3 linked regions of the Cricetulus griseus genome follow. The protein of the gene in region 3 purifies or fractionates together with the protein of the main gene of each other region. This does not show direct contact. Links are inferred from orthologs where the notes say so. Each region holds a gene or a part of one and is shown on either strand. Other genes may lie near its edges.

Region 1 (7,971 bases), on a different chromosome or scaffold from region 3:
CACATGCCCTAAAATCAAGACTGGACGAGGCAGTTGGAGGAAAGCAGCCCCCTCTGCCTCTGTTAGGAGTCCCACGAGAACAACAAGCTACACAACCATACGTGTATGCAGAGGTCTTAGGTAGCATCTACAGGGTCCCTGAATGTCGGTTTTATCTCTCTGAGTCTCTAGGAGCCCCGGTTAGTTGATTCCATGGGCCGTGTTCGTGTGGTTTGTTTCTAATTTTGTGACCTGATTTAAAGATTAAAAAAAAAATTAATACTCACTTTGTTAGCCCAAGCTGGCTCTTGAACTTATTACTCTTCTACCTTGGTCTCTTGTGCTAGAATCACAGGCGTAGGCCATCACGCTTGGCTAATATATATATTATATATATATATATATATTATATATATATATGAAATGTTTATGAATGGTATGAAAATCAGTATCTACAAAGGATGTGCCTGAGATTAAGTCTTTCACTCCCTTGGTCTGCTGGGCAATCCATTTCATCCCAGGAGGTAACCACTGTTCCCACCTCTGAGAGTGATTTTTGACTATCAGCTCTCTCAATTCCTTCCTGGTCTGTGAGATGTGTGGCCTTTCCAGGCCCTCATGACCTCAAATCTGATTGACTTCATAAATTAGCAATCATATGTGTATATTTAATGTACATACACAAAATCTCTCTCCCTATGGCCTTCCGGGCCCGGTTTTCATCACATCGCTTCCTGGATGAAGAACCTGGAAGGGTGAGGGGCAGGGGTTGGGGGTGACAGAGAAGAGGACCTGAGGGACTGTGGCCAGGGGTTGAGTGGTGGACTGCTGTGAAGCACTGTAGGGTTTCCTATTTTTATTTTTCCCACTAGGCCCCCTTCCAATTCGGTCCAGCTCAAGCCTCTCCTTTCCTAGGGCCGAGACAGAGACAGGAGAGATACAGAGACAGAGACGCCGAGGCACCAGCATCTCTCCCCCCCCCTACACCGTCCCGCCCCACAGCTCTGACGGACGTCAACTCGCAGCCAATGACGCTCGCGAATTGCCTCGGACGGGCCAATGAGAGACACAGGAGGGCGAAAGCTTGCCCGCCCCCCCCACTCTAGCTTGGTTGAGCCGTGCAGGTAGGTCCGGGGCCGGGGAGCTGCCGTTGGCACTACTGCCCCGGGGTGGGGGCGCGGCGGGTCGGGGTGATGGTGGCGCAGAGTGGGGCGTCCCGTCCGGGGACGTCGCGGGGGGCGCCGCCGCGGGCGGAGGGAGGCTGAGGGGTCGCGGGAGCGGGCGCCGCCGAGGGCCCTGAAGGCGGCCGGGCTGAGGACGCAGGGACGCGTGTGGGGCGCGGGACCCCGGCCCGGCGCCCACCGCCAGGCCTGGGCCTCGGGCCATGGGCCGCGGCGGACCGGGAGACGGGAGGCCAGCGGGCCGGAGCGGGGGCGCGAGCGGTGTCCCGGGGCCCAGGCCGAGCGAGGTGGGACGGACCGCGGCGGGCAGGACGGAAGCGGCATCCCGCGGGCCGCCCCCTCCTGAGGCAAGTCGGGCAACGGCCACGGGCTCCGGCCGCGAGCCCCGGCCCCGGCCGCCCCTCCTAACAATGGGACCGGGCCGGAGGAGTCGCGGGCCGCAGGGGGTGGGGGAGCTCCCGGACGAGGGTCGGAGGCGGGGGAGGGGCGGGACTGGCGCTCTCTGGATCTCGGCCCCGAGGTTCTGTGGAACCTGGGGGTCGCGTCGCGTCGCCTCGCGGGTGGGGGCGGGGGTGGGGAGGGGCGCTCAGGCTCGCCTGCGAGTCGGGTCAAGAGTCAAACTCCTCCGGTCCCCACCCCCCAAATCCGGTGAGCGGTAGGCAAAGTGATGCCAAGTCTCCCTAACCGAAGTGACAAACGCGGAGACAGAGCAAACCCACCCCAGTGCTTTATTTTATTTTTAAAACGGGGGACCTCGACTCTGAATTTAAGAAATTATTTTTTTAAAGAGGTGAGTGTGTTATTTTTGTGTTCCTACGCGGGCAAGCCTCCATTTTAAGTGAAGCAGTAACTGGTTAAGCTGGAATGTTCATTCAGGCCTAGGACTTAAGGCTCCTACAAGGAAGGGGTCATTTAGTCCATCCTTTTGCGTCCCTACACACTTAGCACCCACCATCTTCAAAATTAATTCCTCTGGGCTGCTTTTAAAGATCTCTGGGAAAGAAGGATCTTTTCTCCCCCCCTCCATTTTTTTTTTTTAACTTGTAGTACTTCAGTGAAGAATAGCAACAATTATTATAATGATGATGATGTAGAATCAGCTCTGAAACTTTATTTATTTATTTATTTATTTATTTATTTATTTATTTATTTTGGTTTTTTGAGACAGGGTTTCTCTGTGGCTTTGGATCCTGTCCTGAAACTTGTAGCTCTTGTAGACCAGGCTGGTCTCGAACTCACAGAGATCCGCCTGCCTCTGCCTCCTCAGTGCTGGGATTAAAGGCGTGCACCACCAACGCCCGGCTGAAACTTAATTTTAAGAAAAGTTAGGACATTGGAGTTGCCAGAGAGGTTTACATTTATTAAATAAAAGTAGCTGTAGACTTTTTTTTTCCGGTGACGAGTTAATAAATCACTTTCAGTAGTGCTTATGAAATAATACTCTGGGAGAATGGGAGAATAACTTTTCCTCCTGGATTTTGGTTTTCTGAATCTTTAATAAGTAATTTTTGATTATTTAAAATTTATGGTCTCTGATGTAAAATATACATGTGAAATTCCCTTTCCAAAGAGAATTGTATATTGTACCTTTTGTTGTTGTTTTTGTGTTTGATACCATCTCAACAAGTAGCCTTGCCTGACCCTGAACTCACTAAGTATACCAGGCCAGTGTTGAACTCCTAGATGACAGCCTGCCTCAGCCTCCTCTGAGTGCTGGGATTAAAAGTGTGTGCCACACCTGCACACTTTCTAGGATGGTAAGGCAGTTGGCACTTAGCATCCTTCCCAGATAGAATAAGCTATTTGCATATTCTAGATTATTGTCATCTAAATGAAACATCCTCCTTTTCAGATCTTGCCACTTTTATCCGTGGTAACTGAGGGGATTTCTTAGTCTCTCCCTGCTTCTTTCTGAGGCTCATCTGAACTATTCCTGACACTATGAATGCTATTTGGATGCCTCTTAAGGTAAGATGTATTGGTTTTTCCTTATTACTTCATATGAGTGTTTTAGAACCAAGAATATTTGTTTGCTATTTGTGTTTTGAGACAGGGTCTCATGGTAGCCCAGGCTGCCTTGAACTTTTTAGATTGCTAAGCATGCCTTTAACTTCATGAACTTCCTGTCTCAACATTCCAAATGCTAGGATGTTCTTGAATTTACAACTCTTCAATTACCTTACAGGATACTTATCCTGAGGACTATTAGCTTCTTAGGATTTGTATTATTGCTGTTCTTGATTGGTGTTAAAATATTAATGAAGTTCTCAAATTAACTTTTATTATAATGATGAGTTCATTTTTTAAAATAATTTATTTAACTTTATTTTATGTGCATTGGTGTGGAGGTATCTGGAACTGGAGTTACAGACAGTTGTGAGCTACCATGTGGGTGCTGGGAATTGAACCTGGGTCCTCTGGAAGAGTAGCCAGAGCTCTTAACCACTGAGCCATCTCTCCAGCCCCAGAGTTCATTTTTTTTTTTTTTTTTTTAAACCTTAAATTATTACAGCTTGCATACTAGTAAAATTCTGTTCCAAACCTGGCTTATGGGGTTGGCAATTCAGACTTTGAGGTCCATTTTCAAACAGGTACTTACTTTAGAGTCATATGAACTTGGGTGTGTCCCACTTTTGCAAATCAGAGCTGATTCATGTGTTACAAAAGATGTGTCATTAACCATTTGTTTACTCTGAAGTTTCATATAGTATATTAAGGTTTATGTGTACAACTCTTCATCTGCTGCTCCTTAGGCCAGTTCATGAACCCTTACACTAATTTTTTTCAACAGGTAGCCATTGTGTCCTTTCATTTCAAGGGCAATGTGGGACAGTGACCATTTGTCTCTTATGGTTCTTTCTGATCTGTTCGGAGATGGCAGAAGAACTCTTGGTTAGGGCTAAGCAGAAGACTGAGCTTAAGGCTTGAAAGTGAGGAAGTGAGAGGGAGGACCAAGAACTGATAAGTAGTGCTAGAAGTCCTCTGTCAGCCTCGCCTTCCTTGAGAGTTAGATAATGATATAGTTAAGATTGTTTTGATCTGCTCCATGTAATTCCAGAATAGTATAGTGGGTAAATCAGAATAATGCAGTCTGTGTAACCTAAATATTTGGACTTTTGGGAAATCTTTAGGTAATGTAGACTGGATCTTATCCTCACTTTTGTTCTGGCTGCTCTTGTTGGATGAGTGCATATATTAATATAAAGGGGTCCAAAGTGACTCATTCTTTGCAGTCTTTTCCCCATGGTACAGCTGGAGGGATTGAATGGGGAAACAGTCTGAAGAATCGATTGCCTAGGAACTGGAGGACCTTGTATAATTGTGTTTTCATTTCCTTTTTTAAAAAAATACATTTATTTTTATTTATGTGTGTTGGTTTTTTGCCTGCATGTATATCTGTGTCACAGTGTCAGAACTCCTGGAACTGGAGTTGACAGACAGTGGTAAGCTGCCATGTGGGTGCTGGGATTGAACCCTGGGTCCTATTAGTTAGTATTCTTAACTGCTGAGCCATCAGGACTTGCTGACTTCTATGACCAGTATATTAGATTTCATGTTTCAGCTTCCTTGGTTTTAAGGTATTAAATATATTGAGGCCTACTTTTTAAAGATGTGTGAAGTGTTTAAGGTTTTACCTCTAATGGTAAACCTGGGGAATTACCAGAGTCCTTTGACTTGTCGGAAATACAGTCAGTGTCCTATAGTAAGTATGAATTATTATCTCTTAACTACTCGAGAATGTAATTATGTGGCTGCCTTAGTTTTATGTTTCCTACCAATCCTTTGATCGGTGTAAAACTGTGCTAAGTTTAAGCTTTGTTGTTTTGAGATAGAATCTTGCTATATGGTCTAGACTGGCCTAGTACTCTAATGACTCTGCCTCCCAAGTGCTGAGATTTCAGGCATAAGCCATAAACAGTTTTTTTTTTTTCTTCACATTTTCTACCTTTATTTTTTTTTTTTTAGAAATCAGTTTTTTTTTTTTTTAATGTATTTACTTTTTATATGCATTGGTGCTTTGCCTGCAGGTATGCCTGTGTGGGAGTGACAGATCTTGGGAGTTACAAACAGCGTTGAAGTGCATAGGGGTTCTGGGATTTGAACTCCGGTCCTCTCGAAGAGTAGTCAGTGCCTTTGACCGCTGAGCCATCTCTCCAGCCCCTTCCTCCCATTTTTTATACTTAACATTTCAAAATACGTTTAAATTGGCAGAAACAGTACGTTTTTTTCTATATTTTCAAATTAGAGTTTTTTTTATTTTATTAATTAAATTTTTTACTTGTATTTTATGTATGTTGGCGTTTTGCCTGCATGTATGTCTGTGTGAAGGTGTCAGATCCCCTAGAACAGGAGTTACAGACAGGAGTTACAGACAGGTGTGAACTGCCATGTGGTAGGTCCTCTGGAAGAGTAGCCAGTGCTCATAACCACTGAGCTATGTCTCTAGCCCTTTGTTTTTGTTTTTGAAACAGGGTTTCTCTGTGTAGCCTTGACTGTCCTGGATCTCTGTAGATCAGGCTGGCCTCAAACTCACAGAGAACTGTCTGCCTCTGCCTCCCAAGTGCTAGGATTAAAAGCATGCACTGCCACACCACCACCAAGTTATATTTTTAAATAAAAAGAAATGAGACTTTAATTAAAGTGTATACATCATGGCAAATGTTCATGTTTCTTTTTTTATATGATGCTGGAGATCCTAGATAAGCATTATATTGCTGAACATTAGCCTCAGCCCCTAAAATTTCTGTATTTCTTTGGCTTGTTTTCAGATACCTTATTTTATTCTAATTTAGTTTAAAATTTTATATTTATTTGTGCTTGCACAGATGTACATGTGTGCACACATATGGGCCATAGTGCAGGTGCTGGGTGGAGGACAGAGGACAGCTTGTGGGAGTTGGGCCTCTCCTTTCACCAAGTAGGTTTCCAGGATCAACCTCAAGTCATTAGGCCTAGCAGCAGGTTTTTTTTTTTTTTTTTTTTTTTTTTTTTTAAGATTTTATTTATTTATTATGTATACAACATTCTGCTTCCATGTATATCTGCACACCAGAAGAGGGCACCAGATCTCATAACGATGGTTGTGAGCCACCATGTGGTTGCTGGGAATTGAACTCAGGACCTCTGGAAGAGCAGCCAGTGCTCTTAACCTCTGAGCCATCTATCCAGCCCATTTTGTTTTTTGTTTTTTTTTTCATTTAAAAATTATTATTTTGTTTTATATGTGTCGGTGTTTTGCCTCCATGTATATGTGTGGAATTCTGAGCCACAGTGTGGGTGCCAGGAAATGAACCCAGGTCTTCTGGAAGGGTGGCCAGTGCTCTAACCATTGAGCCATCTTTCTATCCCCCAAATAATCATCTTTACATGCTGAGCTGTCTTGCTGGTCCCTAGTTAAATTATTTATTTTACTTTGTTTTTTTATGGGATATGGTATCTTTATATAGGTAGCCCTGGCTAACCTAGAACTCACTATGTAGACTAGACTGGCCTCAAACTCAGAGATTTACTTGCCTCTGAATCCTGAGTGTTGGGATTAAAGGTGTGTACTGCTACACCTGGCCTAATTTATTTTTTTCATGTTTACTTATTTCTGAGTGTGTCTGTGTGTGTATATATATGTAGCTTACAGTTTTCCTTCTGCCATTTGGGTCCTGAGGATCAAACTCAGGTTGGCAGACTTGGCTTGCTGTGCCTTTATCTTTGAGGAGTTTGCTCTGTCCTTGTGCCTTTATGTGTTTTCTAGGAATTGAACTCAGGATATCAGGCTTGAATGGCAAGAGTCTTTCCCTGCTGAACCCTCTTGCTTGCTTTTTAAAAATTTTTTAATTTGAGCCGGGCATTGGTGGTGCATGCCTTTAATGCCAGCTCTCGGGAGGCAGAGGCAGGTGGATCTCTGTGAGTTCGAGGCCAGCCTGGTCTCCAGAGCAAGTGCCAGAATAGGCTCCAAAGCTACACAGAGAAACCCTGTCTCGAAAAACAAAACAAAAACAAAAAAAAAAAAAAAAAAAAAATTTAATTTGAAACAAGTTCTCACTGTTACCTTGGCTGTTTTGAAACTCCTCATAAAGACTAGGCTGGCCTTGAATTGAGAGAGATAAGCTTGCCTCTGCTCCCTGAGTGCTGGGATTAAAGGCATGATCCACTATAACTGGCTTTTTATACTTTTTGTTTGAATCAAATCCAAATATTTGAAAACAGAATTCAAAACTAAGTGGAAACTAACAGGTAATTCCTTACATCTTCCTTTGTTGGAAGAGAGGGAGGCAGGTTTTTGAACAGTGGCTAAAGTGATGACCTGAAAATGGTCTAGTAATTTAGAACATATGTTGCTTTGGGATGTTAATTTTTTTTTTCTTTTTAAATTCTTTTTTGTTTTTTAAAGGATCAAACTCAGGTTGGCAGACTTGGCTGTATAGCTCTGGCTGGTCTAGGACTCACAGAGATACATCTGCTTCTGCCTCCCAAGTGCTGGGATTAAAGGAATGCACTACCATGCCTGGCTGGATTTTAATAATAATAAAAAAGATTGTTAATTTTATTTATGTATGTATCTGTGTGTGCCACATGTGTGTGGGTACTCAGGAAGTCCAGAAGCGGATGTCAGATCTTCTGGAGCTGGAGTTACAGGTGTGGTTGTTAGTCACCCAATATGGCTGTTGGGTATCAAACTTGGGTCCTCTGCAAGAGCAGCAAGTGCTCTTAACTGCTGCTATATCTCTTGTCCCCAAGAATTTTTTCCCCCAACATGGTATCAAGTAGATTAGGCTGGCTTTAAGCTCATGATGTAGCTGAGTATGACCTTGAATTC
Region 2 (7,750 bases), on a different chromosome or scaffold from region 3:
GTACATGGATGATAAAAGCATCCACTATGCATGAACAAATATCGAAGTTATATTTAGCATATTTTAAACTATTAGGTATTCTGGTCCTCATTAAACCACTCAAGTTTTTTGAAAACCAAACTACTCTTAATTTTTATTTGATACTAAAGGAAATATGTGAAGACTTAAAATGAAATACTGAGTGGTCTTTTACAAGTAGAATGATATACATACATAAATATTATTATGTATGAATAATTGTTTTGTTTAATTATATAACCTATTTAAAAAAAAAAAAAAAACAGTAAGCGTCATGTAACTTTTGTGCCACACAGAAATTTAAGTAGATTTCAGCACTTCAACAGCTGTTCTGTGGTAAACCACTTGATATTAATTTAAGGTTGATCTATGTCTATTTCCTGATACTGACTAAAAAAAGAAAGCAAAACTCAATCTTAAGAAAGTTACTTGAATTACCAGAGTGAGTAGGCATGTACCTGTGTACACACACCCAATAATAGTCTGAAAGGTTTTTTAAAGAGCCACATCAAGAACAGTGTTTATATAAATGAGCTTACAGAAGTTAAACTCAAGGCAAATGGGGTGTTGGCCAACATTTGTCAATGAGACTATTATCACTGAGCTTACTAGAATACAGGTAGACATTACCCCAGTTAGCACGAACCTCTTGTTGAGAAGCTACAACTCTGACTTATTTTCAGGAATGCTACTCGGAAGCATAGGACCCTGAACAAGGATTTCTCTAAAAAATATTTTTTTTAATTTAATTACCAAATCGAAATTTCACAGCCACTCAATCAGACTAAATTTCCCAACCAAAAGTAAACTTCTTATACAACAAAGGCCAAAGTTATGTTGTGTCCCTAAAAACTACTGCATGAACTAATAAACTATGTGTTTCTTCAAAGCTAGAAGCTAGCTCAATGGCACTTTGTTGACTGAGAGGCCTATGCGAATATATAAACATTAAATATTCCTAAAAGCAGTAACAAAAAAATGTAAAGTTTCACATAGCTCATAAAGTCTCAATAGCATGCCTCTGCAGTAAATCCATGCTGGCTAAACCACAACCAAGAGTGCCAATATTGCAAAATGGCATCTTCTGCTGCATGGTGCAAAGGAACTACTTTGTAACCGGGAATATTTCAACATGGTCACCAACACACCCTTGCTGACATTTGCAAAAAACCGGAGACTGTTTCTTAGTCACCCTTGCTATGATGAAGCCTGTTTCTCAGCTGCTTCCCAATTTCAAAGAAATACTCTGTATATTTCCTGCCTGGTAAGAAGGAAACACACCGTATACTATCTATCTGGTAAGAAGCAGGTACCTTATAAGAACTAGCCACGGGATAGCTGGGGTTAAGAGGCAAAATAATTGTCACTCAACCTCAAGTTCCAAACTGTCCTAAAGACGAGCCCCAAAATGAGGCCATTAAGCCAGTGAATAAAGACATGCTGAGGTCTAAGCCTAGATGTTAGCAAACAAAAGTCGAGGGCCAGTCTCAAGTCAATACTATGACTAAACAAGATTTCTGTCTGCCACTGCAAATTTGGTAAGCTGACTGAAGGCAAAACGATCATGGCTTTAATGGAGATACAGTGTGTGGTGAATACAGTCCTGAGAGTCCTGAGGCAGCTAAGCTACAAGGCCCTGCTCCACAACAAATGAGTGTTGGGCGAAGGGAGCTTAGGTAGCACCGATGCCAGGCAGAAACTACTCAGGCCCCTGACTGCCAGTAAGAGAACATTTGCCTAGAAGGCAGGCAGAGTGATGAGCCACTAATGAGAATGAGCAACTCACTCCCTCATTCTTATTCCTCTGTGGGCCAGTGGGCCCTGTGTGCTGTTTCCCTCCTCTCCCAGCCACAAAGATATCACACTAGCACGCCACCCTTTCCTACTACACCTGTGAAGCGTCTCGCATAGGTGTTTGTACTGACCACCTGCCACAGATGCCCAAAACCAGAGGAAAACGTGCAGTTCTGGAGTTTGCCCTTCTAGTCCAACATGCATGAGGTTCTGCTCTAAGCAAGGAAGAGGTCAGATGTGGTTTGGGCTTTCTGTGGGACAGTGAAGGATGGACAGGGACACTATGAGAGCAAGAGTCCCAACCACTGACAGGACCTGATAAACAGGAAGCTGATTGTCTGAATTAACCATCCCTTCCCTCCCTCCAAATAGCTGTTAGTTACTCAAGACTACTATCCTCTCTCTTTGCCTCACACTCTAGGAAAATACTTCCAAACCACACATACCTAAAGTGCTGTACTAAACAATCTGTGAAGCTTATAAAGGCTAAACCTAAGCCCAGTGTGCACATGTACTCCAGGGACAGCTGCACTTGTGTGACTGACATGTAGTTAGGATAGCCACTGGCTTACTAAGGCTACAGGTTTGGTGATTTTGGTCAAAGTTCTGTATTTTCCATACCATTTCTGTAAGTAGTCCAGTGCCTCCAAACGAGCACCAATCTCAAAAGTGATTCCAGGACGATTTGGGGGCTTTTTACTCATCTTGAGATCCTATTCTTCAGTATTTTCTTTCCACTACCTCAAGAGGAAAAAAGAAAGTTAGATTCTAACACATAAAATGCACAGGGAATATGACTTACAGGAACAGACAGAACTTAGCTAACTTTCAAAGTAACACATGGGAAATTACAATACTTTTTCTAATTAGAGGATTACCAGTACCTGTAGGTAGCATGCAACAGGAAGGTAACCTTAGTAAAGCAAGATTAGTAAATGGAATACAGAAAGGAAAACTAGCTGAAAAAGAAGGGACAAGCGATCAGTACTTATGAATAGCTAAAATGCCTTAAACCTTAACTCAAACATACCCAAGAAAGTTCTACCCAAGGAAGATTGAAAATGCTGTTTTTAAAAATTAAGACAATCCTGCTTACTGAAATCCTTGAGGGATTAATGGTTTTTCACTTAATTTCAAGAAATCTTTTTGGTACATCTAAATGTACATCCCTTTATAAAACACTAAAATTAAGGAGGAAGCAGTAGACATGCCGTCGTGTGCCACCAAGGCCACCAACCAATGTCCCTGTAAGATCAGGATGCACTGCTGCTTGACAGTTTTAACAGAGCTGCAGAGGACTCTTTCCCTCAATTCCACCTTTAATGATCAATAATGTCGGGGTCTGACTTTGAGTGTAGTTTCTATGGTAAACTCAACATAGTGCCCACAATCAAAATAAACAAGTTTCTCATAAGAAAAACCTGCAGAGGATCACTGTGTAGATCATTCACCGGTCAAGAATTTACTGTTCTTTAAGCCACACGGGTCTCCTAGCACACTTGAGGCCTTTTTCACTACTAAGTGTTTGAGGGAAATGAATACATTCTCAAGAGTATCGATACTGGAATGAAAATATAATTGGTATGCTAAGTCTTATCAAAATGCAATTGGTAATCGGGAATACAAAGCAGTTATTGATGGAGGAAGATGGTTTAAAACATGCTTTACACAATACTGAGTAGGCTCCCTCCAGCCTAAAATAATACAAAACATCACACAAAAACAGAAACTTTAAAAAATAAACCTCATACAACTGCAATTTTTTTTTAAAATAATGATTTGGTTACTGTTTAAAACAGGCAAAATACAATGGCAAACAAATGTGCCTTCCTTTCTTTTTTAATATCTGAAAAGGCAAGGCAGAAATAGCATCAATGCTCGCCACAAAAAAAATCTGGGGGCCCAAGTTGACAAGCCCGTGGCTAAGGGGCTGGCTTTAGAATACTCTGGCATGACATAGGTGAGGTTAAGATTGGTAGCCAGGGTGCGCTGGGTGTAATGGGAACAAACAAACATTTTACATAGAGATTTTCTAAGTGTGCAACATACAAACTTCCAGCCTGTAAATCGAATCCCCCAAGTGACTCTCAGGAATGAGGCACCGCAAAGGGCACAGGGGGAATCCCATTGTCTTGTGGGGGACGGGGAGGTGGCGGGCTTGGGGACACGGGTGCGGGGTGAAGGTGGCATCTAAACTGACAACTTTTAGAAAAGACGTTCTACTGGAAAGATCCTTAAACACAAAGAGAGGGGGAGAGAGAGAGGAGAGGGAGGGAGAGAGGGAAAGAGAAAGGGAAGGAGAGAGAGGGAAGGAAGGAGGGAGAGAGGAGACAGAGGAGAGAGAGAGGGAAGGAGGGAGGGAGAGAGGAGACAGAGAAGAGAGGGAAGGAGGGAGGGAGAGAGAAGAGAGGGGGAAGGAGGGAGGGAGAGGGAAGAGAGATACAGAGACAGAGAGAGAAGGGCAGGGGAAACAAAAAAAAAAGGTATGAAGAGAGAGGGGAAAGCGGTAACAAAAAATAAAATAAAAAAAGAACTGCGCTCAAGTTAGCGGAGATGACAGTGAGAGGAAAGAGACAGACACACACACACAGGGCGAGCGGGCAAGCCGGCGGGCGAGCCGGTGAGGGAAAGACCGCGAAGCTGAGCAGAGGCGGGGAGGCAGGCGGGCGGGCGGGCGGGGAGGGGGGGACGCGCGGGCGAGGGCGGCAGGGGAGCCGGGAAAGGCCGCGGGCGAGCGGCGCGGCTGGCCCGGAGCCCGGGGAGGGAGCTGCGGGTTGACAGCCGAGCGAGCCAGCGAGCCAGCGAGCCCAGCGAGCGCCCGCGGGGGAAGGAAGGCGGGGACCGCAGCGGCGGCGGCGGCGGCCGCGCGCAGACAATGGGGGCCGAAGCCAGCGAGCAGCCAGCGAGCCGCGACCCGGGGCCCCTCCCGGCCCCGCCGCCGCCGCCGCCGCCCCCTCTTACCGCCTCGGCCTCCTCTGCGCGCAGCAGCCGGGCGTCCGGGGCGCCTCAAGGCGGCCAGCGCGGGCCTCGCAGCGGGCCGGGACGGAGCAGGAGCAGGAGCCGGGCCCGCGGCGCCGCGCCGGCCCGAGGGACGCGGGGAGGGAGCCGGGTCCGAGCCCTCAAGCCCGCTCGGGGCCGCTGCCATCGCCGCCGCCGCCGCCGCCGCCGCCACAGCCGCCACCGCCCGCCGCCACCGCCACTGCCGCCGGCCCTGACGCGACGCCGGCCGCCGACGTCAGCCGCCCGCGACGACGCAGCGGAAGCGGGCTGGGCTTTGTCACGTGGCGGGCGAGGGCCGGGCTCGCGCGGCGCCGCCGATTGGAGGACGGCTCCTGGGGGCGGGGCCTCGGCGCAGGTTCGCCCGGCGCAGACGATTAGAGGGCGGTTCCAGGGGCGGGGCGTAAGCCCACGGGCTCGCAGGGAGGGCGGTTCTAGGGGGCGGGGCTTCGGCCCCCCCAGGCTAGTGCGGCGCAGACGATTGGAGGGCGGTTCTAGGGGCGGGGCTTCGACCCCCTCCGGGCTCGCGCGGCGCAGACGATTGGAGGGCGGTTCCAAGGGCGGGGTTTCGTCCTCCTAGGCTCGCGCGGCGCAGACGATTGGAGGGCGGTTCTGGGGGCGGGGCTTCGGCCCTGAGCCTGGGCTCCCGGGGCGAGAAGCAGGGACTTGAGCTGGTTTCCAGGCGACCCCAGGGGCTGACACCCTGGGCAGACGTAAATGCACCACCGAGTCCATTCCAGCCCCGCAGGAACGACGGGCACAATGATCTCTCTTGCACAATCAGGAAAGCGTAATAATCGCAGCCGCACAACTGCACTGCTCTCCAACCTCCGAAGTTCTTACTAAAGGACTAACAGCAGGCATCCCTACGAAGTGGAGCCTGTGACTACAGTGATGTGACTTCCACAAGTCTGCACGACTAATGATATAGGGGCTGCGTTTACATGCCCCGGAGTGTGCAGTAAGCACGAGAGTCCCTGCCCCAGCTTTGGGAAAACTTAAAAGTGATCACAGACAAAATACTACTGACAGGAAGCATCTGTTTTGTTTTGTTTCTCTCTCTCTCTCTCTCTTCCACTCTATCGCTCTGCCTCCCACGTTTTTAAAGTGCATCTTCGCATACAAATGACGCTTATATTTATCTTGCTTCGTCGCGTACTGAGAAAATAGCCAAGTGACTCTAAGTTTCAATGATGGTGAGATTTTTGTAACTGAAGCAAACATTCACGTTTAACGTTTTATTCAAAAGGCATTCATTCAAAAATGTGTTTCTAGTGGCTGCAGGGTTGCACTGAGCTTGGTGATGCTGCAAACACCGTAAATAAAGACAGTTGTTAATGATATTTGTCATCTTGTTTTTCTTTTCAGTGTCTGAGAATTTCCTCCATAGCTGTCATTAGTCCAGTGCGTTAAATATTTCTATACTCTTTCTTCTGCCACAAGCAGATTTTATACTTTCCGCTTTTCTTAGTAATATGCTTGCTTGTTCATTTAATTTGATGTAAAATTAAATTGCAAGTAGAATTCGTCACAGGGAATGGCAATGTATGATGCCAGTTCAACAAATTCCCTGTGCCTCAAACTGTGGCTTTCGATGTTTGCAACAACTGGTGACCTTGATACATCAGGATGAGCACAGTAATTACATATCAACAACAAGCATGCAATTATGAACAATACTTAATTTAAACAATAAAATGTACACTGTTGAGAAGTAAAAGGTATATATTTATAAATCAGGATCATTTGTTACAAAATCGAACCTTCCAAATCATAAGGAATCTTGGAGGAAGAATCAGCCGCTCACTAAATGGGATGTCAACATTAGACTCTAATGAGCTTAGCCTCACTTGGGGCAAAAAGGTCTGGCTTTAACTGCTAAGTAAACTGAATTTCTTTAAGAATTTGTATGCAATGATGATAACAGTGTTCAAAATAAGGAAACATTTTCGACACCACAACAGTAATAGTATCAATAATCTTTCCTATGCCTGAATCTTCCTGAAGTCTGGAGGAAACCACACTGATCTACAAGCCAGTATATATATATGTGTGTGTGTGTGTGTGTGTGTGTGTGTGTGTGTGTGTGTGTGTGTTAGAATACATAACATATTTTCTTTACTATGTTGAGTGTCTACCAACCCATTTCCCCAAAAAAGAATAATGATTCCTCTATTTCAACTAGAACATAGATACAGAGTCCCTCCAATAATACATATTAGAATAAAAATAGGAATGACCTCCTACTTACACTCAATCAAGTAACCCTTAGCAAACTCGGTGAGCAGCACACAAAATGGAGATGTAAAAGTAACATGGAGACTTGCTGAGAAGAGTTCCAGTGAGAGAGGGGGTGGGGGAGGGGATTTGGGTGTGAAAATGACTAAAATGTATGATCGAAGTGTATGAAACTGTCAAAAATAGAAAATGTTTTTTTTTTTAATGGGACTGAGGTCTAATGTACATTAGTGGCTTGAGTGATGCATGGTCCTGTGGAGTTAATGCCCCCCCACTTCAGATTACATGTTGGAAAAGGGATTGTCATAGTTACTTGTTACTAAATTGCTATAGGAAATCTCTACAACTCAACAAGAAGGCATCAGGTCTGCAAAAAACAAAACAAAACAAAACAAAGCCTGAAATGCACAATGCAGCTCTTTACCTTGTAGAATTACCCCCAAGTCATGCATGACCTTTGAATGTCCATCCATGTACTCATAAATAGAAAACACTTGTTTAAAATTGTGTGTGCCTAAAACTGAGTCTCATGTGTAAACTCAAAGTGAGATTGGTGGGGGGGGGGCTTTAAGGGCTGTTCAACTTCCAGAGGATGCAGCCACTATGTTACAAAGGAATTTGTGCACTGTTTTATAAACTTTGACAGGAGGCACAGCTAGAACAACTCCTGTATCCATATGTATTTGTTCCTGTTAGAGTCAAG
Region 3 (7,748 bases):
ATTAAACACTAATTAGAACAGGGCATGGTGGGACACACCTGTATCCCAGCACTTCAGAGGTGGAGGCAGGGAAAGTCACTTCAACGTCATCCTTGGTTATATAGCAAGTTTGAGGCCATGTCTCAAAAAACAACCCAACCAACCAACAAGGAAAAGTCCCCAAATAATTAGGAAGATTCTGAAGCACCTTGCTGACAGTTTTATCACTCATCCATCACTATTCAGCCCACCCACTGGAGGACAGCCTTTTAAACCTGTGCTGTCCAAGCGCTATTTGAACTCAAATTCATGACAACTAAACAAGAAAACTCTACAGCGCTGTTACACAGAGAAAACCTGTTTCAAAAAACATCCCCTTCCCCCCAAAAAAGAGTTCTACTCAAACTGGACATATACAAACTAGTACTGCAGAGAGCCACAGGTGACTAGAGGAGCCACAGTATTTGCTAGCAACAGCCCATAAAATAGTTATAACAGTTCAACTAGATAGTACTACCCTAGACCTGGAGAGTCTTCTAGCTTAGGACACTGAAAACATTTCCTACTAAAACATAGCTGGGACTGTACACAGTTGAAATGTCTGTGTATATGTACATGCATAGATTATTAAGTCAAACAAAACTATATCAAAACAATACTTACCACTAAGAAAATGTAAAACACCCATATTGTCTACATTATCCTATTTCTCTCTTTCATTAAAAATTTTTTTAAAGGGATGGAGAAATAAATGGTTTAGAGGTTAGGAGTATTTGCTGCTCTTGCAGAAGACCTGGGTTTGGTTCCCAGCACCCACAAGGTGGCTCACAGCCATTTGTAACTGCAATTCCAGGGAATCCAATACTCACTTCTGAACTCTGTGGGCACCAGACATACATGTGGTACACATGCAGGGAACATTCATACATAAACCTAAAAAGCCTTTACAAAATGTAAATATTATACATACCACACAAAAACAAGTTCACAACCTATTAATACAGTGTCTACAGTGAGAAAAGCACGCTGCACTGTATTCCCCTAGAGCTCAGATGAGCAGAACTACAACACTGAGGCTCTTGGCTGCTGTAATGCCTTAGTGTGGAAATCAATGTAAGACTGTAAGTCTGCTCCCTCTTCTGAATTATTCAGAAAAATATAACTTTTCCTTTTCTTTCTTTCTTCTCTATTTCCTCTAAGCATACTTTCCTTAACACTTTGGGCTTTCCCCAACATTTTGGCTTCCTTACTCCTCTAAAATGCTGATTCCTTCCATGTGGTTGACTATCTACCATATATCTGATCTCCATGCCATTTTAAATGACATGATACTTTTCCTAAAGTTTACACCCTGCTTGCCTTGGGGCTTTTCTTTTAAACTCTAATAAAATTGTCAAACTTCTAAAACAGAAAGAAAGAAATGGAGGTTCAGAGTAGGAGGAACATAATCACCAAGAACAGTCAAGGCCAGTCTGAGCTACATAGTCATAAGACACCAGACAGCCAGGCACTATGACTCACTCATGTAAGCCTAGCACTCAAGGCTTAAAAGTAGGCACAGGGGAACCAGAAGTTTAAGATCATCCTTGACTATGTAGGAAGTCTGAGGCCAGCCTGGCTACATGAGACAGTCTCAAAAGAACAAAATGGGCCACTGAGATGGCTAAGTGGGTACTGTTATGTGCAGTGTAAGCCTAGAGACCTAAGCTTGCTGTTATGTGCAGTGTAAGCCTAGAGACCTAAGCACGATCCCTGGAACCTACTTCACAAAGTTACTCTCTAGCCTCCACATTCTCAAACCATGGCACACATAACCCCCCCAAACAATAAATATTTTTTGAAATATATATATTATTATTATAATATATATATACATATATATATATATAAAATTTTATTTTTTAAAGAAGAACCCTGGTTTGGGTACATTTGTAGAATGTATCAAAACCATGATTAGGGTCTGGCCCCTAAGATGATGTACTTCCTAATGAGATTTCTTTTCTTTTTTTTTTTTTTTAAGATTTATTTAGTTTTTTATGTACATTAGGGTTCTATCTGCATGTATGTATGTGTGAGGATGCCAGATCCCCTGGAACTGGAGTTACAGACAGTTGTGAACTGCTATGTGGGTGCTGGGAGTTGAACCCAGGTCCTCTGGAAGAGCAGCCAGTGCTCTTAACAGCTGAGCCATCTCTCCTGTCCCCTAATGAGATTTCTAAACCTACCAGTGCTCCCTCTGTAAACTGAGAATAATGCTCAGCAAAAGGCCACTCTGAAATATCAGAGCAAGGAAGGAATGAAGTATATTTAACCTAATATTTAGGCTCACAAACCATTAATGTGTGTCATAACTCCTGCCCACCTTTTAACCAGCTGTTTAACTTTAACATGCTAACTTCTCTGAGCCTACTTCCTCATGTACAAAAAGAACAAAATTTTCCCTGTGGTGATGGACTATTGGAGAGGATTTGATGAGTTTTTACAGCACTCAGCATGGTGCTGGATAACCAAGTAACCAATATAATTTTGTTTTCTTTTCCTTCCTTTGGAACTTCAAGTTCCAGAGTTCCAGCCCTAACTGTACCATTTCCTTGCTGCAAAACAGCAAGTCTCTTCTGTCTATAAGTTGAGATTTTTTACATCTGAAGAATAAATGAGAGATAAAATCCCTAGCACACTACAAGATTTCAAATGAGAGGAGTTATGGTTTTGTTACTGGGGCCCAAGAGGCCGACTGGGCTTGGCAGAAGCAGCAGGGCCTCCTGAGTCCTAGAGAAGGGAAAGGGCCAGGACCTTCTGTACGTGGTTGATCTCATCATGCTTTCGTTTTTGGTTTCGAGTGATCTTGCGCTCAGGCTGCTCCGCCAGCTCACTCAGGTATTTCTCAGAGTTCTTTTGCACGGCATCCTTCACTGTCTTGGTCAGTGCTAGTCGGTTCTTGTCCACCCATTCGTCCAGTCGCCTGTTGACTGTTAAGATGGACCATGAGGAACTGACCTGCTACCTCTTCCTTCCACCCAGGCCCAATGGCCCCAAACACTCACAGCCTACATAGTGTACATAGAATTCTTCTCGGCCCTCCTGGTCATTCACTCTAGACTGGATCACTTCTGCTGAATCTGTAAAGAAAAAAAAGGGGTCAGATGCACTGAGGGATGATTTCCAAATCCTTGTGTCCACATCCAATATTGTACTTATTTACCCTGTAAGGTGAGTTAGGTTAGGACTTTAGTTGGGTGGGTGGGTTGGGGGGGGGATGCTGACAGAGAGCTAGAGATTTGAAAACTGAGAAAACCTGGTATTTAAGTATGCTTAAGTCTAGCTCCAAATTCAGTGATCATTTTATTCATTCATTTATTTGGGGGACATGGGAGCTAGCTAGGGATTAAGACAGTTTAAGCTTCTATATAATTAATTCTTCCTTCAATTTCCTAAATGAATGTAACTAACTGACCACATTATTTTGACTTTCTGAATCTTAGTTCCTTCATCTAGAAAGTAAAAAAAAAGGCTTAAAATTCTTTAGCACAATGACAGATTCCTAGCAAATTTGTCTAGACACTAAAGCTTGTCTGGCCTTCTGCTGTTATTGCTGGACACAGAAAGCAGATACAGCAATGAATCACAAGAGAACTTGCTCTCTAGAGGTTTCCCATTTTACACAGAGCAGATAATTTTAACATGTTACATATATTATGGCTGAGGTCTGAAAAAAAATATTACCAAACATACAAGCAATTAACTTTGCCTGAAAGGGTCAAGAATGGGATCACCATGGAAGACAAAGTTAGGAGATGAGTTAAGAGCTAGCTAGGCAAACATGAGAAAAGTTAATGCATTCCAAGAAGAAGGCACAGTCACTGGAGGGCAGAGCAAGGCCTGGTCTTTACTGGGAGTGCTTAGTTTCTAAAACTGGAGTAGACATGAATGCTACTTTTGAGTTTTGTTTTTGAGACAGGGTTTCTCTATGTAGTCCTGGCTCTCCTGGAACTTGCTATGCAAGCTAGGCAGGTCTTGAACTAACAGATATGCCTTCCCAGTGCTGGGATTAAAGTGTGCTTTGCCATGCCCGACGTTTATTCTAGTTTTAAAATTACATTTATCTATTAGGGGGAGTGGTTGTAGGTGAAACCAGAGGGCAACCGGTGAGATCACTGTCTCTTTCTGCCATATGGGTCCTGAGGACAGAACTCAGATCCTCACGATTGGTGGCAAACACCTTTATCTGCTGAGCCATCTTAGCTTGGGGTTTATTTTGAAGAGGGAAGGAAATGGAACATACGTAAAAGGAAAACGTGTTTTTATGAACTGGGCGTCCTCTTTGCTGACGATGAAGGGGGCGAGAGAAATGTAAAGACAGACAAAAACCAAACAAAAAAACACCAGTGACGGAACAGAGCAGCAGAAATGAAGCTTGAAATCAGGCAGGAATGGGTGTTCACACGCTTACAATGTGATCACCTTACTGGTGGCTTCACAAGAGAAAACAAGCATAAAGCCCGACTGCAGTCTCCCACGAGAGAGCTGGCTTCTGCGTCCTTACCTTACCTGGGTCACCACCCTCACCCCAGGACTCCCAGCCCCAAACTCCGCCCCCTGGAGCAGCCATTCGTAAGCCCTGCCCCATCCCTAAGCCCCGCCTCCAGGCCCTGGACCCCGCCCTCACGCCAGGTGCTATCGGGCCGCCGGCACAGGTACGTTTCTCCGATTTCCACGGTGACTTCTGGTTCGCCACGCGCCGGGGTCGGCGGAGAGACGCGGCCCGGAGACCCGGCAGGCCCCTCGACTGCCGCATTTTCCCCGGGCCCGGGCTCGCCCTCCCCCACAATTCCCGAAGTCGTTGCAGCAACTGCGGCTGTTGCTCCCTGTGCCGCCATTGCGGTACCGGAAGTGGTGCCGGTGACCTTAGAGACGGCCGCTTTTAATTCCGGGTCAGCGGGGGATGGGGCGGAGTCTCAGCGTTTAGGGGGTAGGAGACTGTGATGTGGCGTTTGTTTCGTGGTGGGCGCCCCGTAGGGCTGCTGGTGGTTACGCTGTGGAAACACGTCCAGCCTGAGTTTTTCCGCTCTCTTTCTTTGAGACGGTTTCATGATATACTCCTGACTGATTTAAAGACGCGCCACCACGCCCGGGGTTTCTGTTGTTTAGTTTTTTGAGACAGGGTTTCTCTGTGTAGCCCTGGCGTTCCTGGAATTAGCTCTTGTAGACCTGGCTGGCCTCGAACTCACAGAGACCCGCCTGCCTCTGCCTCTGCTGGTATCAAGGGCGTGCGCCCCCCGTGTGTTATACTTGCTGACCTCTCTCCTCTCACCTTAGGTTCCCAAGAGCTGGGATTGAACACTAGCACCACTTTCCCATTTTTTGAGAAAGGCATTTTCACTGGCTGGTCTCAAACTCATTGAATTAGTGACCGTTATCTGGGGATTACTGTTGTGTTCCATTATATTGGAGTATGAAACCCAGGTCTTCATGCATGCTACTCACCCCATAGTTGCCTCACTTGTTCAGGGTGGGAGTTAAAAACAATTGAGACAGGGAAAGAACAGATGTGTCAAATAAGTACCTTCAGAATAAGCTTTTTTTTTTTTTTGAGACAGGGTTTCTCTGTGTAACGGCCCTAACTGTCCTGGAACTAGCTCTATAGAGCAGGCTGGCCTCAAACTCAGAGATCCACCTGCCTCCGCCTCCCGAATGCTGGAATTAAAGGTGTGAGCCACCGCCAGCCCCCCCCCCTTTTTTTTTAAAGAATCACTTGTCCCAACAGGGCTCAAACCTGTAATGTTGCCAGAGGTAACCTTGAGTTCTCATCACCTCCCAAATGTTGAGGTTAGGATGTGTTACCATACCAGGTTCATGCACTACTAGGGATTGTACCTAAGGCTTCATCAATGCTAGACAAACACTACCAGTGAACTACATCTCCAACCAGAATGACACCTCTTAAAGGTGGGGGGCTGGGGGGACGGCTGAGCAGAGACACAAAGAGCTATTTGGGCAGTGGCTAAAGAATCTTGAGTAGCGACTGTTTCTGAGTAGTGTACCAAATTCATTGAGATTCTGTAAAGATTAAACCATATGTACATATGGTCAAGTCATAAAATTATATAAACCATATAACAAAATTCAATTTAAACTTCTTATTTGGTAGATGAAGTAGAGCAACACACATCTAATTTGCTTTGCCTATTCACCTTTTATCCCCCACAAAGATCAGGTAAGGTGTGTTTTCTGTCATTACTGTGTTGGGGCAACTAACGATTAATAGCCTGCCCAATGCATATTTTAGGAACTGTGCCATAGGCAAACTAGTAGATGAAAAGAATAACCATTTGTTATATAGGAACTTATTTCCTGAGCTTTGCAGAACTGAGAAATATGTAGTGATTAGGAATGGGTGTGCATCTGTGAGTTATGTTGTATTTAACTCTGAAGCGGTGTTACTTTGCCCAGCTAAAACACTTGATTGGTCTTAGGAAGAGCTGAACGGCCAATAGCTAGGCAGGAGGAAGGATAGGTGGGGCTGGCATGCAGAGAGAATAAATAGGAAGAGAGGATCAAAAAAAGGACAACGGGCCAGCCACCCAGAAGGAAAGAACTATATAGAGAGCAAAGAAAGGTAAAAAAGCTCAGAGGCAAAATGTAGTTAAAGAGAAATGGGATAATTTAATTAGAATAGCTGGCTAGAAACAAGCCAAGGTAAGGCCAGAAATCCATAAGAATAAGTCTCCCTGTATTTATTTGTTAGCTGGGTGGCAGGCTCCCAAAGAGTTATAAAACAAAAAACCAACTACACACCCCTTTTCAGGATTGTTATTGCATTTACTCAGACTTCTGTTACCTCACTTCATCTTCACCTGACATCTTCAGTTACAGGTAAAGGCCTTCCTAAGTAAAGATTAACCTAAGCATAGTAAATCCATTGATCAGATGTGAGCACACGTACTCCTGTGCTGCCTGCACGTCATCCATGGTTCTAACATGCAAATCCAAGTTTTCTTCCTAGAACTGTATGGGGACTGCACACAGACCACCCCTGTTATGTGTATGAGTATGGGCATACAAGCATGCAAGTCAGAGGACTTTTCAAGGTTCAGTTTGTCTTCTGCCATGAGTTCCAAGGGCACAACTCAGTGGCAAGTGCTTTTCCCTGCTGAACCATCTCACCAGGTTCTTTCTGCTGCAGCAATCTGTGTCGTTTCTCTGTGTGTCACAGCTATGTACTTTCAAAGACTAGAACATGAGACTTTTCTTTGACAACTGCCTAAGGGATTTGGTGAGACAGGGTTTTGCCAAGCAGTCCAGACTGACCTTGAACTCTTTATCCTCCTGTGTTTTACCCCAAGGGCCAGGATCTCAGGTGTGTGTCACATTTGATTCTGCCAGAAAAGGCTAAAGAGTTTTGTTTTTGTTTTGAGACAGGGTTTCTCTGTGTAACAGCCCTGGCTGTCCTGGAACTCACTTTGTAGACCAGGCTGGCCTCAAACTGCAGAGATCTGATTGCCTCCCGAGTGCTGGGATTAAAGGCATGGGTCACCACCTCAGGCTAAGAGTTTTCAGTCTAGGAATTTAAATCCTTTCCCATCTCCACATCCCAAAACAGGGACTGTCAAGTGAGGGAATCAATTACCATGGAGCTTAACTCTCTCATGTCTGCTTCTGAGGAAGACGGTACTAGCTCTGGAGTTTTTATTAAGATCATTTACTTAACCTCTCCTGTTTCTTTTCATGGTTCCCCTACTCACTGTTGGAAGCACCTCCTACCCCCAACA

The links. Proteins that work in one complex are often made in the same cells at the same time.
Region 1: the proteins of Kat8 (region 3) and KAT8 regulatory NSL complex subunit 1 purify together in Homo sapiens (affinity purification with western blotting; 4 studies listed by BioGRID and IntAct, with this or other methods). This does not show direct contact. The link is inferred for Cricetulus griseus from reciprocal best matches to the Homo sapiens genes KAT8 and KANSL1.
Region 2: the proteins of Kat8 (region 3) and PHD finger protein 20-like protein 1 purify together in Homo sapiens (affinity purification with mass spectrometry; 3 studies listed by BioGRID and IntAct, with this or other methods). This does not show direct contact. The link is inferred for Cricetulus griseus from reciprocal best matches to the Homo sapiens genes KAT8 and PHF20L1.

What each region holds. Positions count from the first base shown.
Region 1 is NC_048600.1:117,491,489-117,499,459, reverse strand, and holds the start of KAT8 regulatory NSL complex subunit 1, read left to right. Parts: upstream 1-3,012; 5' UTR 3,013-3,128; intron 3,129-7,971. UniProt on the Homo sapiens protein: Non-catalytic component of the NSL histone acetyltransferase complex, a multiprotein complex that mediates histone H4 acetylation at 'Lys-5'- and 'Lys-8' (H4K5ac and H4K8ac) at transcription start sites and promotes transcription initiation.
Region 2 is NC_048603.1:22,016,989-22,024,738, forward strand, and holds the start of PHD finger protein 20-like protein 1, read right to left. Parts: upstream 4,960-7,750; 5' UTR 4,774-4,959; intron 2,554-4,773; 5' UTR 2,517-2,553; coding exon 2,434-2,516; intron 1-2,433.
Region 3 is NC_048596.1:72,862,544-72,870,291, forward strand, and holds the start of Kat8 (histone acetyltransferase KAT8), read right to left. Parts: upstream 4,889-7,748; 5' UTR 4,857-4,888; coding exon 4,646-4,856; intron 3,099-4,645; coding exon 3,024-3,098; intron 2,949-3,023; coding exon 2,773-2,948; intron 1-2,772.